Linked DNA regions of Caenorhabditis elegans. The protein of the gene in region 2 interacts with the protein of the main gene of each other region in a biochemical or structural test. Each region holds a gene or a part of one and is shown on either strand. Other genes may lie near its edges. The genes, in order: frpr-16, flp-3, dmsr-1 and dmsr-7.

Region 1 (4,359 bases), on a different chromosome or scaffold from region 2:
TGGTGGGTACTATCATTCAATTCACAATGATAAGTGCTCACGGACGGAAGCAGGTGGTGAATGATGAGATGTGTGTGTGTGCTCTCCGAAGAAACAATAAGATGATTTGAAGATGAATTGATACCTTCTTCCGTCCAATTCATTGGGGGCGGCTCCATGACCACGTGTGAGTGCAGAAACGAACAAGCTAGGCAGAAGATTATGAGCAAGAATTGAGGAAAAAAGGATGAAGCACCTTTGAAGAGTGACGTCTTTTGTCGTTGTACTCTTCTTCCAATTGTGACAAATTGGCAATATTTGGAAAATGGCATTTCGTGGAATTTAGAATGAATTTTTTGTAAAAACGATGGTAATAGGGGGGCCTCATATATTCACAGTGGGTCTTCAAATTCTGACATTTGATAGGGTCTCAAAGAATTTTTTGTGTGGTTTTTTCTCAAAGAGGAGTAGGACGCAGAAAAGAAACAATAAAAATTTGGTTTTCGAAAAGAAAAACAGAACTACAGAAAAATTTTTAAAAATCATATTTCGAGAGTTCCCATAATTTGGAATCTGTTTAAATTACTTTCAGATCCTGCAAAATTTTTCAAATGCCTGGAGAGGTGCTTGCTGTTCACAAAATATCTTTTTCTGGTTTCTTGTAAATTCGGCCAAATTTTTTTCTATTTTTTTAATATTTCAGGCTGAGAATGTGAATTATTAGTTCTCAAAACTCTATTTTCATTTTCATTGGTATTATTTCAAGTTCATAATACAAACTGGAAATATGACAGATTCATTCACCCGTTTCATAATTGTTTGTTTGACAAAAACCGGGACCAGATATCTAAAACATAAAAAGAAAACAAGTATTCAAACAAATAAGAGTCTATTTCTAATTAAACAATTGCCGGAGCTTTTCTTGTTTTTGATTCAGAAACAGCTCCAGATGAGTTAACTGGCAAGTAGGTCGAGCATTTTACATCATCCAGCCTTTGGCGACATCTGAAAATAGTTGATAAATTGAATGAAATTCGAATTCTAAGATATTTGTCGAAATCCTCACTTCTTTTAATCCTCTTTTTTATAATTCACATTGCGAACGTGCAACTTTGAAGAAGTGAGGGTGAAGTTTATTTATTTAGTTACCTGATGATGTCATGGAATATTGTTCGAAATTTCTCCGAAAATCCGTAGTATATGAAGAAAGTGCTTGACGTATGGAAGATTATCAAAAAGATTGTGAACTCGGCGAACACTTCCCAGTAGAAACTCTGAAATTTATAAATTATTTATTCAATAGTTCAGGAGTTTACAACTTACGGTTTGTGTAAGGAATCCTCCAAAAATACTTTCAGCAACTTTGAGAAACATTGAGAATAGATGGCAGAACGCGAAGAAAATGGTTACCACTAGCAGCATTACAGTTGTTTTCTGATCTTTTCGCTTCTGAACGGCCAAGCCTGTGATAACCTCGTCGCTTTCTTGAAGTGCTCTGATGACATGATAATTGGCGATAGTCATGATAAGGAACGGAAGGAAGTAATCGAAGATTACTGATAATATGATGAAGTAGAACATGAAGTACCACCAGTGTTTCTCTGTATCCAACATCCACATTTCAGATAGATACCCGTCTCTGCAAATCAAATTTGAGATTAATAATCGAGCGTCGTAATAAATTTTCTCCTTAATTGTCCAAAAAACGTATCAGGTTAACAATTGTAATGAAAATTTTGTAAAACTACCCTGTGCGATTAGGTAGCACAGAGTTTAGCAACACAGAAATTAGGTGATAGACAGGCAGGTATGTTTTATGAAAAACTTTAAAATATTTAAAACTTACCCAATTTTATAATCGAAAAATCTTGGAAAATTAAACACTATGGAAAATATGATAATGAAAATTCCAGCTTTCATTGTATTCCTGTTTGTGCATAATACTTTTGCCTGAAAATATACAAATTTAAATTCAAGACTTAAAATTTAGAATTTACCTGAAGTGGTCTACATACAGCAATCCATCGTTCAATGGTTATAAGTACCATTAGATATAAACTACATGATTTTGTCATCATACATAATGGATAAACATATCGTGTACTGTAAGCAAAGAAGCTCATATGAAACGAATATTTTTGCCATTGGTCCTGCCTGAAATCTGATGTTTGATGTGAAAAACATTCCCGAGAGACTTTCAATAAACTCACCAGAGTGGCAGAAAAACAAGAACAAAAATGGGAGTTATCAGGATGAGCAGCAGAATGTCAATGAGTGAGAGAATAAGAAGAAGAGTGCCAACCTGAAAGAATTTTTTGAATTTTCTGTAAAACTTTGAAATTAGATTACTGTAGATTTTCTCATCGGCGCTGTTCGATAAACTAAAAATGATGCAAAGTTTCCAAGAAGTCCAATGAAAATTACAGGTAAATACATCCATGATTTTAGCTCGTAGAACTCGTACCGATTCATAATGTGTTCAAAAGTGTGAAGATTCTGTAAGAAAAGGAAGAAAGTTTGGGTGGGTGGAAACGGAAATGAAAGAAAAAACCGAAGAAAAAACGGATAGCGCTTTAGAAAATGGGCAGCTGAGGGAGGGGATAATTTATTTTATTCATGGATCCACAAGAGGTGTGAGTTGTGGAAAAAGGAGAAGAAGAAGGTGAAACTTTTTGTACTTAGAAGACGACCAGGAGACCAATAGAAAATTGAGCAGAATAAGGATTCAATTTGGAACAAAAAATGACGATGCATTGAATATTCAAACGACTGCACAAAAGTTCAGAATATTTTAGAAATTTGAAATACGGTATTTCAATAAAATAATGTTTTGAAATTATAATTTCAATTTTCTTTATGGAATATGTACGGGGGTGACTTTTATAAGGAAATTGGGAATGGAGAATTGATTTTAATAATCTAATAATTTGAAACTACGATAATTTGTTTATTCAATTCAATCATGACTCAGGTGGAAGTTTCGAATGATTTCACCATTGAAACTTTATTGAACTTTAGGGTTTTATATATACTTTACTCACATTCACTCTACATAATTTAGTACCAACTGAGCACAATGCAAACTTCCATTCGAAAACGTTTATCAAGAAACGGCATTTGTTAAGATTCATCGTTAATTTATTTACAGGCAGTCCAGTGAAATAACCTTTCATAATAGTTCTAGCCATAATTTTTTCAATGTGGTCTTAAAGTAACTATGTTATGCTTTTGTTCTACTCGAGTACCACTTAAGTGATGGGAGCTTAACACAGTTGCAAAAATTGTGAGAAATACAGAAAAGAGTTCCCGGAAGGAGAATTTATTTAGGTTTTTTCCGAAAAAATTGTATTTTATTGAAGCTTAACCTAACTCTTGAAATTGGTACAATAAGTCGTGTAAAACTAGCTCGTGTTGGGATCAAGAATCGTGTCAAAGAATCACTTCAAAAACACTGAAAATTTATTCGAAGAAAAAACATCGTAGAGTTTAATAGTTATATAGAAAATGCTTCTGGACAGCGGAATGTGTATTGAAAAAAGAGAAATAATGAGATCATAATTTGATTGAAAAGATTTATATATCCTGAACGTATGCCGTTCAGGGCTTATACAAATCTGTTGACATCAAACTATTGAATAGAATCAGGCGTGGAAAATGTTGATTCTCATAGAACTCAATGAGATAATTTGAACTTTTGAGCTCTCCACTAAAAGACGCATTGTTTTTTCTCTCACGGATCTTAGTGTTAGTTTTGACAGTTGAAATGTTTGAAAAAAGAGAGAAAAAAGACATGGAGGTTTCTGCTAAATACTTATTTTTCTTTTTTTGTGTCGTTTTCATTTTCAGCTCGTAAAAAGATAACACATGTGGCAACGAGGAAGAAAATTGATGAAGAAGAAGGGGAATGCAGTACATGAATCTTTCAAAAAGAAAAATTTGAACATTGACGTGTTTCCTGAAGTGAATGCGTTGGGGGAATTGTAGACGAGAAGAGCTGTCACATAAGGAAATATTGAGCAGGATTCCGAAAAGAGTTATCGGAAAAATGGGAAGGGTGGATTTAAAAATTGGTACGAAGTTTCTTGGAAATGGAGCAAAAAAGAAAATGCTTCAAAATACGAGGATTCTAGAAGGAAGGAAGATATAGTTGCACTTCAGAAAAAAAAAGTACAGGTGGAATTCAGATTACCGGAATCCTAACAATTTGATGAAAACGGATTAAATAAGAAACGTGAATGTTCTTCTGGTCCCGCTCATCCATCACCATATTGTTATTTGTTTATGTGGGAGAAGAGGTTTTTTGTGGGCGAGATGGAGTCAAAGTCGAGAAAAGATTAGATTTGTGCCCGGAAAAGGGTAAAACCAACACGTCGATCAGAA
Region 2 (3,363 bases):
CTGCATTTTATAACTCCATTTTTAATATACAAAAAATGAAGCAACAGATAACATTGTGAACTAGTAACGATGACTGTTCAGAATAAGAACAAAACGAATAAGCAGAAAAGGGAAAATATGCGTTTATTGTGAACATTCAGCGTTTTATTTTTAATTTGCAGTTCATCCATAATATTTTTTTCCTTGACTCTGTGCTTTAGTGATAGTTCTATTGTGAGTAGGCTGAGTAAACTTCTTTAAGAAGCCGGCAGTTTCCACGCATTCATTGGTTGGCACATGTTGGTCTTCTGTAAACATCTGAAATGTTCGAATTCATATTTGTTTTCAAGTGTCTAAAGGGGAAAACACCGGAAGTTTTGGCCAATCGGATGATGAAAGCGGACGAGCGAACCATGAAATTGTGTTCGAGAATTTCTCCATCAAAAGCAAAGACTAAATTTGAGAATCTTACAGTTTGCTAGCTAACTATTTTGGTCAAGCGTGAACAACTAACAACAAAATTTAACAAAGTGAATAATAACATTAATTTATTCTCCAATCTATGCAAACCACTTGATGAGAAGAACAGAGAAGGGGGTATTATGGAATAGTCGTTTTTCCTTAGTTTTTTGCAAAAGCCCAAGAATTATGCAATCGTTTCGGTATATTTTGGTATGAATTAGAAGCCAGAATGATAAATAATGTTAAAAGAGAGTGCCACTGCTGCGGGGGTGTTGAACATGAAAACTTAGTTGAAGCGAGAATAATATAAACGTGAAAAGTGAAAATAGAAATTATTTTCCAAAGCGCATGGTTCCAAGAGGGTTTCTTTTGCCAAAGCGCATTGTGCCAAATGGAGCACTGTCGTCAGCTGATCTTTTTCCAAAGCGCATAGTTCCAAGTGGCTCTTCTAAAAGCATAACATTGTGAAATCAAACTTTAGTACAGAACTGTATACCTGCTTCACGTTTCCCAAATTTCATTGTTCCAAATGGCGCATTACCGTCTTCTCTCTTTCCAAAACGCATGGTTCCAAACAGAGCATCCTCACTAGCACGCTTTCCAAATCTCATTGTTCCGAATGGTGTGTCGTTCTCAGGATTACGTTTTCCAAAACGCATAGTACCGAATGGCTCTGGAAACAGGTGGGTATAGTTTTTGAAAATTAATTATTTGTATAATACCTGCACTTCGTTTTCCAAAACGCATAGTTCCCAATGGAGTGCGCTGATCACGAATGACGGGCTCCGAAGAATCAACAGTAGACCGCTTCCACATTACATTTGACGGATAGTATCCATCCTCCTCAAATGTCATTTCATCAGCAATGGCTCGTTTGCCAAAGCGCATTGTTCCCAGTGGAGACCGTTTTGGTGTGGCATCTAAATACTTTTCATTCTATTTCAAAAACATAATTTCTATTCTCCTACCCGACGCTACCAAAAACGCGCAATTCACACAGAAGAGCAGGATGAGGTGATTGGGCGATATCATTGGTGGTTATGGTGGTGTTACGCGGGAGCTAACACACAAGGGGTACCTTAAAATATAACAATTAGTTACGGAAAATTTAGTCAAGAAGAAGTAGAAGTGAGGTTGTGAACCGCCGAGATATTTGCATGTTTTTATATGAGCTTAATTTCAACAATTTTAACGGTTCAGTTGTCATGCCGGAAGAGGTGTGTGGGGTTTTAGAAATTTGGTCAGGAATGCGTAAATACTGTGTGCAGTTAGAAAAATGTTCATGTGAAACGAGTAAAATTGAAATCCGGTGCTCAAAAATTATTGAAAATCTGAGCTTTGGCGAACAACTTTGTTTAATAAGTACTCGGTACATTCTATTGTCAGGTAAAAATTGGAGGCGTTGGCAATTTGGTTTAAAGGGGCGGGTTTCTAAAAAGTAAGTGGTCCCTTGATGTTGCAATGCACAGGTCAAACGATTACTATTGTGTCGAGAAAAGACTTCGAAAATGCACGATTTGACGTACGACGTCTACCGCCGCCCAACACTCCTTCAAACAAATTGCCAAGTAACAATGCTATTGCTCTTTTATTGCGGCCAGAGTTTCTATTAAAAAACGGTGGCACCTCAATTTATGCATCGTCATGTGACATTTTTGGAATACTCTAAGAAAAGAAATAAGATAATTGAGTCTAAAAAGACACTCGAAATTAGTAGAAGAAGCGTAGGTGGTAGTTTTCAAAGTTCAGGTTAATAATTTGAAACTGAAAGAATTGTGTTGAAACGGGGCGGCGGTTAACGGAAGAGGTGGGATCTCTCGAAAAACCTATAAATTTTGATGTTCAACATCATAATTCAAGCCTAGATGGATAACGAGAATGACGACTCGAACCCATTTTTTTGATGGGATACTGTAACTTTGTGACATCAACTCTCACACAGCCCACCGCCAATTATTAAATCTTTGCGTGCACAGCTAGTCAAATGTAAGTCTTGATTGATAATTGTCAGGTACGAAATTTAAACCGGGACTGGTGTTAGTTCAAAACGTAGATAGACATTTGTTCTCAAAAAAGAAAGAAATGACAGAATCCGATTGGTGCCTGTTGGTTGAGATGCCACCTTGTCGAATTTGTGAAGCGAAGCTGATTAATGAACTGAGCTTTAAGGAGGGGGGATTTTCTGTTTTTGAATAATTAAACATTATTTTTTGTCAAAAACGTCACTTGTCAGAACGCGAGAAATGATTAAGTAGGTTGAACTAATCTTGTTCTCAAGATTGAACAGTGTTTTGAAATTAAAACGAAAACTAATAAATCAAAGCTTCTTGGAAATTCTAGCACCTTCCAAAGTCACTCCACATGTTTAATTATGAGCACTCATTGACATTTCCGAAACAATTCTTTGAAGAACTAGCAAGACTGAATTTTAAAATTTTGATCTTGAAAATAGTGTGCCTCGTTTTCTGACCTAATCTGGCTAAAATCTGAAATTCAGTGCCAGTAGTCGTTTCCTTTGTTCGCGAAGAAAACGTAAGACTTGGTTAACAGATGGGCTATTATTCCATGCGGAACCCAACCACTTTATTCGAAGTTATAGGAAACATAGTTTAAAAAATGTTGTTGCATTGAAAGTACGGATCAAAATATAGGACGAGAATGGGAAGAAAATGTTGGAATATCTAATATGATGTTGGCTGAGTAGTGGGGTTCACCGTGCATTGAATCATTGATAGGATGGAGTTATTGGAAGTCGTAATCTGGCAGCGGATTGAATCGTTTTCCGAAACTGAAAATAATAAAATAAATTCTATCGATCTGCAAGTGTATTAAACATTTTTGTAAGAAGTGATTCTAGTAAGAATACATGACGTTTCCAAATATGTGTTTGGGTTTTAAGCTTGATTTATGTTGTTTTTCCAA
Region 3 (5,731 bases), on a different chromosome or scaffold from region 2:
CGGGCGACTGAATTTATAAAGAAATATGAAAATGAGAAGACGGGGAAAATATGGAATGCAAAAAGAAAAGAATTTCATTGTCCTCATCTCTCTAAGTTTGGTCAGTTTATCCTACGGCTTCTTCTTCTGTCACCTTTTTATGTGCAGAAATAGTTGCGTCATTCGTAAGGTCACATGAAGTTTCGTTTAAGTTAGGCAAAGAGCCCATCCACTGTCACAAATTCGGTTAGCTTCAGAATTTGCATTTTTCTCGGTCTCAACATCCGTCGGTTTTTTTATTTGGCCCCGTACCTTCCATCTTTTTCTCCGAGTTTGATACTTCTTGTGGGTACTTTTTGTACTCTCACTCGTATCATACTTCTTGATAGGTCTTCTCAACTATCAACTTGTTTACAAGTTTGTAATATTTTTAGAATTTTCTGTTCTGTAAATATGTTTACATGTTGTTGGATTTTGATGTTTTAAGTATAAAGGATTTGATTGCATTGTGGAAACTTTTGGCGTTGCATTTTAAAGTTCGACGTCACAAAAAATAATTTTAAAAAGTAAAATAAGAGAAGTTATAATAATCCTTATTTTTCAGCTATTTTTCAATACAATTTAATACACAAAAATGATTTAACAAGCAATATAGGAAAATCCGACCTAACCGGACTTCCATCATTTTCCTTCCCCTAACTCAAAAGTAATTATGCTTAAAATTTTCAATACTTGGGATATGTTTGCCAGTGGAGTTTGATCTTGTACCTTTTACTTTTTTATCGTAACTTCAAACCGAATTCCGGCAAATATTTTCATTTTCAGCATAAACTTTTGTCGTTTTCTTTAATGATAAGTGCGAAAAATTCCTCTGGCACGAGAGTCAGCTCAATGAGTTTTTTTCCTGAAGTGACTCCGGAAATGGGTGCTCACCTGACATGTGGTCACGGATCAACACATGACTAACTTTGGAAATATCTATCCAAACCTTATCCGCTCTGTAATTAGAGTTGGAGCGCGCTAGGCCGCCTCACACACTTCCGAGCGCTGACCGAAATTTGGTTATATTCTGATGTTATTTTTTGTCGGGGAGAGATGCGTTGCACCCCGCTCTGCGTTTATCTGTCCGTGCTCAACATAAAAAAGGTTCTTTTTTTTGAGTAAAAAAGCAACAAATTCCGCCCATGCTTAGATACTGGGCCCATCATGGCGGCGAACGGAAGGACTAGGAAGCGAGGCTTGTTTTGAGTTTCTTTTAGTGATCGAATAGCGGTTGGAAGTAGATACGGATATTGCACATATATATATATATATATATATATATATATATATATATATATGTGTGTGTTTTGAAGTGAAGAGACAGTGAAATAGTGACAAAAAGCTGTTGAGATATCCATTTAGGTTTTTGAATTTTCTATTTTTCAAAATGCGTAACGTTTATGGTTTTTAATGACGTGATGTCTCTCTGAAATAGCGGGCATTTAAAAACAACTCTTCTTCCAAGTGATAGAAAAAGAAATAATTATCAATTTATTTTTCCAAGTGCCTGGAATTTGTGACATTTTCTTTGTAATCGAATACATGCTCAATTGCCGAAATTGTGTAGCGGCAAAAAAATTAATCAAAAAACGAATGTGAATATGAATTTGGTATAGTGCATATCAATTTTTCCGAAAATTTGTGTACTTTTGAATGTATTAATCTTGTTCAGTTTATGCAAATTATTCCTTCTGAAGTTCATTCAAAACTTTTTGGCTCTCTTTTTTCAATTGTACTCTTAATTTTCCCAGTAAAAAAATCATTAAACTTCCTGTGCTATTTTTATTTTTATATTTTCTGATTTTGCAACTCCTTCAATTTCTGAATAATGATTTCTTTAAGGAAGTTTTATCTGCAAGATCTCCCTAATTGGCAATAATTGGTGTTTATCTTAGATTTTTGAGCAAAAGCTTGCAGTATATTTTTGTTAGTTTTTTTGTTCCAAAAAAACACACTCACCCTATTATTTGAGTGTTTTTGTTTTAAAAAGTGAATGAGCAATGTGTTGCCAAATCTTTGTCCCTTTTGTCATTTTTTTCATAGTCATCTCTCATTTCTAATGACGTTTTCCGGTTTTCCGAATCGGAGCCGTTTTTCATTTGAACGCTTGTTTTCCTCATTTTCAACGTTTCAATATTAATAAATTGTTGTTTTTTTTCAGATGTTCAAATAGAATCAGAAACAATAGAACAGAGGAACAGCAAACAAAATGGAGTTTACCGAATGCAAAACTACATTTATTCATCTGCCCGATAAAAGTTTTTTATACGATGTTTTTGTGTAAGTTTTACTTTTGTGTCTCAAAAATCTTTCAAATAATTGCCCAGTACTGTTGTATTTGACGTATTTTCAAAAAGTACAGTTTATCATCATTAAAAGTTATCCTATTATTTGTAGAAATCATCCCTAAAAATAGCGAATAAAACCAAGTTATTGAAGAAGGTTATCTTATCTTAAATTATTGTGTCCTCAAAAGTGATGACCATAAAAAAGAGAGCCATTAATAAATATTTCAAGAGCAAAAGTGGAAAAAAGTGAAATTAAACGTTTTTTTTTCAGAAGTGTATATAATTTCTACCATCCTATACATGCCTACTTATCAATATTTCTATGCGTGTTGGGTACAATCGCTAATTTCTGTAACATCGTCGTACTAACGAGACGAACAATGCGAACGCCAGTTAATATGATTTTGACAGCAATGGCATCTTGTGATACAGTTGTGTTATTTTCAAATTTAATATACACAACACATTACTCATTTGTCGCTTTCAAGTTTTGTCATCCGAAACATTGGTCCTACTCTTGGGCGTTATTTTTAATTGCTCATGCTCATCTTTCATTAGTTGCACATTCTTCAAGTGTTTGGTTGTCAGGTAAGCTTTTCATTCTGAAGACAACTGTCCAACTCTTCGATTTTATTGCAGTTATGCTTGCACTTGTTCGATATGTAACACTTCGAAGTAGGGGAAATATGGGTGGTATGCAAGTGACGTTAAGGCATTCTTATTATGCCGTTGCTGTTACTGTATCCCTTGTAGCAGTGCTTAATGCACCGAATTTTCTGAATTACAAAATCAATGAACAGCCATTGAATGAAACGTGTACCGATTTGGATCCAATGTTCTGGAATTCGCCCGCGTATCTTCCTGGAATTGCAGACATTGCAAAAGCAAACAGCTGTCTGGTAAGATTTTTGAATTTCAGTAAAAAAAAAACAAGATTTTTGTTAAAAAATAATGTTTGACAAATTGTATACAAACAAAATTTCTCGAAAAACTTTTTTATTGGAACTTAGATTTATAAACTAAAAATTTTGGCAAGATCATCATAATATAACTTTGAAGCTTTGGATTTATATAAACCTTTTTGGAAATAATTGATCGATCATATGTACATATGATATCATGAAAATTATACAAAATAATATTTATCATCGTGATCGTCACCCTAGCAAAAACCAATTTCCTAATTTCCTGCAGGTCTTCCGGTTATCTTATTGGATATCCGGTATGGTATTCAAAGTATTACCATGTGCGCTTCTATCGTTGTTTGTTTGGCTCCTTTTACGAATTCTTCGTGAAGTGCGTGAGAATCGTCAACGTCTTCTCAAGAACTCGCAACATCGACCACCGAATCAAACGACTACTCGAAACGGACAAAGACTGAGCATTTCAGTTGCAGGCAACGAGAAATTAGGCAGAAATGGAAGCTTACGGGGGAGAGGAGAACGTGTCGATCGGACAACTCATATGTTATTGGCAATTGTAGCAGTTATGCTAGTGACTGAATTACCTCAAGGAATTATGGCTGTCTTGTCTGGAATGTGTTCTGAAGAATTCCGAATTTACATTTATAACAATCTGGGAGACATTCTCGATTTGTTCTCACTTTGCGGTTCATGTTGTTCATTCATCATTTACTGCTCAATGAGTGGACAGTTCAGAAATGTAAGTTTTGATATTACTTGAAAAAAATTTCAATGAGCGACATCTTTTCAAAATACCTCAATGAAAAATGTGTTGTATGCTGTTAGAAAATACTACAAACTTTCTCAACATTCGGTGGAACTTTCCAAGCGAATTTGTCTTTTTTTTCTTTGTTTTCTTACTAACATGATGTTCGGCAGCGTCTTAAAATGCGCTTAAGATCTCTACATTTTCCGACAATTGCGGAGTTGTTTTTACAAGAAAAATCATGGAAGTACATACTTTGCTCATTTTATGAATGTGTGTTTAGTTCATTTTAACACAGGGAACAAGCATTTTCATTTGATTTCTATAAATAAAAATTGGTTCATTTTCAATATAGAAAAATCATAAAATTTTTAGGAATTCCACCGTGTCTTTGTACCTGCAAAGGTGAGATGTCTCCGAATGTCATCGCCGTCGATTCGTCGTCCATCCGACGCCTACAGTACCACAAAAATGACTTTTCTAAAACCAAACGAGAAAAACGGAAATGGAATGAATGGAAATGGCACTTATTCGGAAGATACAAGGTCAGCAAGTGTTAAAGTAAGAATATCAACACATGTTTTTTCTACAAAACTTTTGAATAAGCCATGTTAATTTTCAGATGGTCGGAATCCAGGTACGAAGAAACAGTACGGAAATAACGAGAATGACTGGATGTGATTCAATTACTCCATGTTCTCCAATGCCAACATCATTTCCATCATCCCCACTTCCACCGATTCGAAGTGGAGAAGATGAATCCACTGATGAGACATCACATCTACTTAACAGCTCAGGACCCAACTCAACAGCCAGTGCTGATGGAATTCGTGGACACTTTCAAAACATTTGATATCAGAATTTTTTAAACACACAAATTGCAACACGTGTCAGAACAAAACCATTAGTATTTACCATATTCACGGGTTTCTATTTCAATTTTCTGATTACGTTGATTTCTTCTTAAGCGTGTCCTATTAATGAATCTTGTTTTTTATTAGTAACATACTTTTTTTTTAAATCTTTAAACTTTTCAGAATTGAAAAAAAAAATAAAGTAATTGTTCAGAAATTAAAATTCTTTCAATTTGCATATTGAGGTTATTGATTTATGTATATGACAACCTTTTATGAATGAAAATTGCAGAATTGGGAATATTGTATCCTCGGAGAACTTCAAACTAGCTCCCATAGTAGGTAGACATAGATTGATTTTCATAAGCATTTTTCTGGTTTAAATGAATTTTTTATCATGCCATCACAAAAATATTGATGGCAAACATGACAGTCGTATGTCACCGTGTAATTAAAACACTTACTTAAAAAGGATAATCTTCCAACTTGTAAAAATGTTTCGGCATAGCAATCTTTTATTTGTCAATGGAAAGTAATAGCTAGAGATCAATTAACCGACAAAGTTACCGGGTGCCGAAATGAAAGAGAAAAAAACAGAAAAGCTGACTATAATGAAAGCATCAAGTGGGGGAGAAAAGTAGAAGAAAACGCACAACCCGTTTCGGAATGTTCTTTTTCGGTTTCTGGCTACACAAATTGAAAAAAATAAACTAGTAGCTACTTGGAAACAACAGCTCTTTCTGGTGTTGAGATCGTGACGTGGCGTTTTAGTTGAGTTCCCAAGTTTCGAATTGGTGACATTGAACAATCTCTGGATGGAACATTTGAAGCAAATTCTCCGGGTGCATTTGAATTTCCCGCTGGACGATAAAAGCAGACAACAGCTACACAATTATTTGC
Region 4 (5,697 bases), on a different chromosome or scaffold from region 2:
GTCCAAAAGATCCATCACTCCAGTTGACGTCATTTTTCAAATTTGACAGCTCATCGGAGCAGCATCAACTTTCTGTCACTTTGATACTTGAGAGATGCGCACTTTTTTGCAGAGCAATATGTGATGGACAATAAATATGTTTCTTTTTGAAAACACATTTATTTATCACATGTGTACGCTTATTTTGGAAAATCTAAGCGGTCTCTGCAAAAATCCCCTGTTTTGGCATTCTTTGTGTCAATGATTAATTCTGGCGCGTCACAATTTTTGATCCTAGCTTCTTTTTGCAAAACTTAAAGCAACAAACCTTATAAGCGAGAAGAAGAACAATGGTTTCAATGCTAAATCTTCCACGGTCCACATAGTCACCAAGGAATAAATAATTCGCAGTCGGCGGCCATCCACCACGATGGAAGAGACGAAGAAGATCCGGGAATTGTCCATGGATGTCACCGCACACCTTTATCGGAGCATTCATTTCAACCATTGATTTCTGTCTTTTAAATACATCCAGTGCCAAATCGAGAAGCTTTAGAACTCGTCCTTCCGTGATCACTTCGGAAAGTAGCTTTTCGTGAGTACTAGCGCTCAGGACATCAATTATTATGTTGTCAACGACGTCGTCTTTCATAATCTAAAACATCAAACCTTTTTAACTTTTGATTCCTGGAAGAGAAAAAGAGAACTCACCTTTCGGAAATCACTTTCAATTGAAAATAATTTTTTTTCCTAGTTTTACTCACATCTACGTGTCTTTTTGTAAACAATTTTTTTTTCACGGCGCCGTGAATAATTTAATAATTTTGTAAACCATATTGATTTATATAAAAACTGAATTAATAAAAAACAAAAAGTACCCGTAACAAGAATAGAATAGAAAATGCGAAAGCTATGAAAATGAGCAAGATATCACAAAAAATCTGCAAAGGGAATTTGTACCGAGATCGAAAAAATTGGAATTTAAAGTTGATGTTCTCTACTGCTGTTCTGATTGTCCGACACGGAAGCTTCATACCGCCAATACTCATTGCGTGCTGGTTCCGGTTCAGTTGCCAGTGGCGTATAGCTTTGTTTTCTGCAAATTAAAGATAATATTTTCCAGACTTCAAAAACAAATTAACTGACCTTCCTAGTCGTAAGCTGTTGTTCAACTGAAGCTGTGAAAGTTCCGTCGGAGAACCACGACGGGTCGTCCACAATCTGAGAGGAAAAATTTTATTTTAGACTACTGTAACAGGAACTGGTTCAATAAGAATGAACTTACCCACAAGCCCACGAAGGAATGATAACTTCCCAAAACGTCTGCCGGTATCTTGAAGACATCACACAATATAAAACAAAATTTACAGAGGAATTGACAAGCGATAGGAGATCAAGAACATCACCAATGTAGAAATAGAGGTATCTGAAATGGAAAATTTAATTTTTCGAAAACTTCTTTAGCGCCCAATTTTAGCTTTAATTGGGCCAACAAAAATTTAGCAACACTTTTGCAAGACTCAGCCTGCACCCAAATTTCCAAAAATTCAAATGACTCAAGAAAAATTGGGTCAAGCTTGGGGCAGTTCGATTTCAGTTTTTCCAGGCCAAATTTCTAGTTAAACATCAAATCTTACCTATGAACGTCTGTAGTAAAAATTGCGCAAAGAATCGAGATGATTCCTTGTGGAAACTCCGTTATTAAAAATACCAATAAAATAACAACAAGCATCAATGTGGTTCTATCTGATGTTCCATTCTTTCTGAAAATTTCCATTTTGTCATAAAAGTTCTTTGAGAGTTGACTATACTTTTTCAATGGTTTTGAATCTGTTGATGCATTTGACGGAACACTCGTTAGTTTCCTCCGATGCTTTTCTGCGTCTCTAATCTTTGATACAAGGCCGAAAGACAAGAAAATTAGCAGAATACATGGAATGATCTGAAAACTGGTAGGACGTTTAATTTGATAACTCGCGTACTCGCTAACCTTGAACAGAATTCCAATCATCCAAATATTCCATTTAAACAACCGGCAATTGTTGATAGTCGCCGCGTGGCTGACCATAAAAGTGTACACCGGTTCAGAGTAGTTCGATGCAAATTTTTGACACGTTTTGCCAGGTCGCCAGTCATTTCCTTCTACACGGGCGATTTCGTGGACCAGCATATTTGGAATACAAAGTACAAATACGACCATATAGATTCCCAGGCACAACTTCCATGCGAACTTTGGTCGTTGCCATTGACTGAAAATTTCCAGATTTTTTAAGGGGGCCAACGTTTCTGGGTATATTGCTTGCAATGTCTTTGTAAAATTTCAATTTTAAATATTTTTGGATACCTACCATTGTTTGAAAAAAATTTTGAAAACTTTCATTACAAAACTTGTTCATCTTAGTGTATAAAAAAATGTTAGTCCCTTAAACTTTGCTCCCAGCATACCTATTCAAAGCGGTAACCCTTAATGTCATCCTCCGAATGAACGCCATCGCCACAGCGAGCCATAAAGAAGTTGTGTGTAGTGTGATGCTCAAAACAACATGCCACAATAGGAATTGTAACCAAGAATGAGTGAACGTTGGAGTGCTGTAATAAAATCTAATAATAAAAATTATTGAGTTTCATTGCAAACGCTTGTTTTCGTGTTTTTCAGTATCATTTTACGAGCGACTTTTCATCTTGAATTCACTTTTGTTATTTATGAATACACGTAGTTTGTAGCTTTGTGACGATTTTCAAAATTTCCTATGATCAATAAAATATGCAGTTGTTTTCATGTTTTGATGCACATAAAACGGATAGGAGGAAATAAATAGTTCCAGGTTCAACTAAAATTCTATGCCTCTTCAATTAAGTGCAGCAAGTGACGAACATGGGCATTCAACTTTTGAAATTCCATTATTACTTTGAGGATGTTTTTTTGTGTGTGTGTGTTGATACTTGAGTGGAAAAATAGAAGAATATAAATATCCTTCAAAATTTTCAATAGAAAGAGCACACTTAGTTTGAATTCTTGTTATTAATGGTTTGAGGTAGAGTTTGGAAAATAAGGATTTTGTTTCAAAGTATTCGAAATATTCAAATATATGCTGCATAATCAAAAAAAAAGGAAACTTAAAAAATCGAGAAAGATTTAAAAATGTCCAATTTTTGAAATTGCGAATTTTCATATTTGAATTTTTCCAAAATGAGAAGCCATGACTATTTTTAAACCAATCAGCGCCTTCGAACTCTACATCCTTTTTATGAAGTGACCGACATTTTCCGGGTTTTGCAATTCACCATAAAATTGGAATAGGAAAAACCAGAAAATAAATATTTTAAAGCTTGTGTTATTTTTCCAAAAATTCCATATTTGTTGATGTTCCTACTCAAAAGCCGCCACGCCGCTCCATTTCCCAAAACAAAAACATTTCCACCCAATAAACACACAAGAATTACCAGGAATTATTTCGTCGTAAGACAAAATGTATAATATAAATGAGATAGGATGCCATTGTTCCGATATCACAGACAGCCACTGCTGTCAGTATGCAGTTGACGGCCGAATTGCGCATGTTGGGTCTCGATAAAACTGCCACATGCACAAAATTGGTGAAGATACCAAAAACGCAGATGAGCACACATACATATCCGTGAATTGGCTGGTACCATCTGACAATTAATCATTGGTTCATTTTTCTTTTTTTGAAAGAAGTGCACAAAAAATAGTTTAACAAACCTTTGAAAATGTGCAAGTTTCCGAAGAAATGCCTGCGTACTGTTACTGTTCGGATCAAACAACTGAGCATCGTGCGGACATTCCATATCTAGCACATCCTTCAAAATGTTGAAAATTTAAGGGGTTTTTAAAGACCATTGAAACAAAGAAACATAAGGAGAAAATCAGAAGAAGCCAAGAGCAACAGGGTGGAATGCGTTCTGTGTTTTTTGAACTTTTAGATGACAGTCGGTTGTTGTGGAAGAAGCTGATCGAGTTTTCGAACAAAATATATAATTTCGTTTTTCAAAAAATTTACAAAATTATAGGTCACTGGCCGGAAGTTATTTTTGTTCCGTGAGTTGTTATTTCTATAGCAGGAAAATACTTTGAAAAATTGTAAAAATCTTTGATTGAAGATTTTTATTTTTTAAAAACTATTTCCTAGAGTAAAAAAAACCAAAAAACCTATTTTTTTGCCGGCCAGGGCGGTAGATTTGTTTGTTTTCGAAAACAAAGTGAGCGAAAAATTGCAAAAAACGCGTAAATTCTTTTGTAAATTTTGCATGTTTAAAAAAAAATGACACTCGAAACCGTAAAAGAGAGCCATATTTATCAAAATATTTATTATTTGGGTTTAAAACATTTTAAAATAATTTTTTTCGATTTCAGCAGATCTTGAAAATGCACAAAATAATTGGTAGGCATGTAGGCATGCCTGCCAACTTATCTTGGCAAGACTAGTCTTTTAAAACATAGTAAGCATATTTTTCAGCAGTTTTATAATTGCGATGATTATAATTGTGAAGCACACTCGTTCGTGAATGTTTAATCTTTCGCTCAACTTTCTGTTTCTTGTGAACATGTAACCTAGATCTAGGGCTTCTAGGTAGGCGCCAAACGACTGCCTACCTGCCGGACTTCAAAGTTAGGTCCACCTGCTTTTCATCAAATTAATCGAAATTCAAATTTATTGCTTTCAAATTTTATGCGCCTGCCTACCATGTTAGTCCTACCTAGAACAGAAACTTATTAGTTAAGTATAAAAGTTTTAAACTTTGGTATTTCATGCCACCATAAAACATATAAAATCAGGGGGCCATCTTGTGAAAATGTTTGTTGTGTGGTGCTGCTTCACACACACCGAAACATTTGAAACAGAATGGATTTCGAGACAGAAATGTGGCATTCAAAGTTAATGAATTCATCTTCCAGAGAAGATGAATCGGAAAATCGAATATTCTCACGACTTATGAATAAGGAAAACGTGGAAAAAAAAAGTTTAGGGGCGCAGGCGCAGTCAAAAGGGGAAGAAAGAAAGCTCAAGTCCCTTGGGAATTGAAGTGATGTGCCTATTGACTATTGACCACTGAACATTTCATCTTTGTTTCAAGAAATCAAAAGAGTGACCTAGCTAATTCTCTAACACCTTAAAATGCAGAGAGCCTAATTGGGGGAGAAATGAGAAAAATGCAGGAAAAAAGCTGAAAAGGGGCAAAAACTGGAGGAAGGAGAGGCGCTACCAATGGTGGATTGCGCACGTAACGTGTTCATTGTCTTTTTTACTCGAAACAAAATGGCGAAGCTTCTCCTCAAATTCAATTTGCAGTTCAAGCAGCTTCTAGTGCTTGAAAAGCAGTGACGAGACTGCATTATTTTCAAAGTGACGAGCAAAAAGGAGGAAAAAAAAAGAAGGACTAGAAGGAGGGGTAGGAATAGTGAGAGGAGAGAATTGGGATGCACAAATCACAACAAAACTTTGGGCAATGAAGAGGAGCCTTTCTTGGTTCCTTCTGGCTCCTCCACAAGTTTCCTAATGCTCAATTCTAGACTAATCTTTCAGATGGCTGTGCAGACTCCCGGATAGAATGATTCAGGCGGCTGCTTGGAATGCCTCCGTTTTTTTTCAGTTTGAGCACATTATTTAGTTACAGTGGCTCTGACTTTTGCTATCATACAAAGATACAAACAGGCCTAGAACGAAACAAAAAACAATTGGGGTGAAGAAAAAGAAA

What was found.
Region 1: the proteins of flp-3 (region 2) and frpr-16 interact in a test that uses a peptide from one of them, tested with the Caenorhabditis elegans proteins (one large-scale study listed by BioGRID).
Region 3: the proteins of flp-3 (region 2) and dmsr-1 interact in a test that uses a peptide from one of them, tested with the Caenorhabditis elegans proteins (one large-scale study listed by BioGRID).
Region 4: the proteins of flp-3 (region 2) and dmsr-7 interact in a test that uses a peptide from one of them, tested with the Caenorhabditis elegans proteins (one large-scale study listed by BioGRID).

The regions. Positions count from the first base shown.
Region 1 is NC_003280.10:6,028,732-6,033,090, forward strand, and holds frpr-16 (G-protein coupled receptors family 1 profile domain-containing protein), read right to left. Parts: upstream 2,476-4,359; 5' UTR 2,452-2,475; coding exon 2,329-2,451; intron 2,282-2,328; coding exon 2,190-2,281; intron 2,134-2,189; coding exon 1,977-2,133; intron 1,930-1,976; coding exon 1,826-1,929; intron 1,619-1,825; coding exon 1,303-1,618; intron 1,254-1,302; coding exon 1,129-1,253; intron 985-1,128; coding exon 879-984; 3' UTR 760-878; downstream 1-759.
Region 2 is NC_003284.9:10,091,446-10,094,808, forward strand, and holds flp-3 (TPLGTMRF-amide), read right to left. Parts: upstream 1,520-3,363; 5' UTR 1,474-1,519; coding exon 1,410-1,473; intron 1,362-1,409; coding exon 1,164-1,361; intron 1,115-1,163; coding exon 938-1,114; intron 890-937; coding exon 774-889; 3' UTR 501-773; downstream 1-500. Other genes in the region: flp-2 (SPREPIRF-amide), read right to left, coding at 3,184-3,229. UniProt on the Caenorhabditis elegans protein: FMRFamides and FMRFamide-like peptides are neuropeptides. SAEPFGTMRF-amide inhibits the activity of dissected pharyngeal myogenic muscle system.
Region 3 is NC_003283.11:11,436,588-11,442,318, forward strand, and holds dmsr-1 (G-protein coupled receptor dmsr-1), read left to right. Parts: upstream 1-2,182; 5' UTR 2,183-2,230; coding exon 2,231-2,301; intron 2,302-2,580; coding exon 2,581-2,897; intron 2,898-2,948; coding exon 2,949-3,208; intron 3,209-3,503; coding exon 3,504-3,971; intron 3,972-4,352; coding exon 4,353-4,538; intron 4,539-4,599; coding exon 4,600-4,830; 3' UTR 4,831-4,977; downstream 4,978-5,731. Other genes in the region: F57B7.2 (SCP domain-containing protein), read right to left, coding at 5,549-5,731. UniProt on the Caenorhabditis elegans protein: G-protein coupled receptor.
Region 4 is NC_003283.11:5,403,462-5,409,158, reverse strand, and holds dmsr-7 (G-protein coupled receptors family 1 profile domain-containing protein), read right to left. Parts: upstream 3,807-5,697; 5' UTR 3,790-3,806; coding exon 3,704-3,789; intron 3,637-3,703; coding exon 3,424-3,636; intron 2,569-3,423; coding exon 2,425-2,568; intron 2,229-2,424; coding exon 1,970-2,228; intron 1,922-1,969; coding exon 1,791-1,921; intron 1,743-1,790; coding exon 1,617-1,742; intron 1,406-1,616; coding exon 1,265-1,405; intron 1,201-1,264; coding exon 1,126-1,200; intron 1,076-1,125; coding exon 961-1,075; 3' UTR 773-960; downstream 1-772. Other genes in the region: C25A6.1 (Serine/threonine-protein phosphatase), read right to left, coding at 308-631.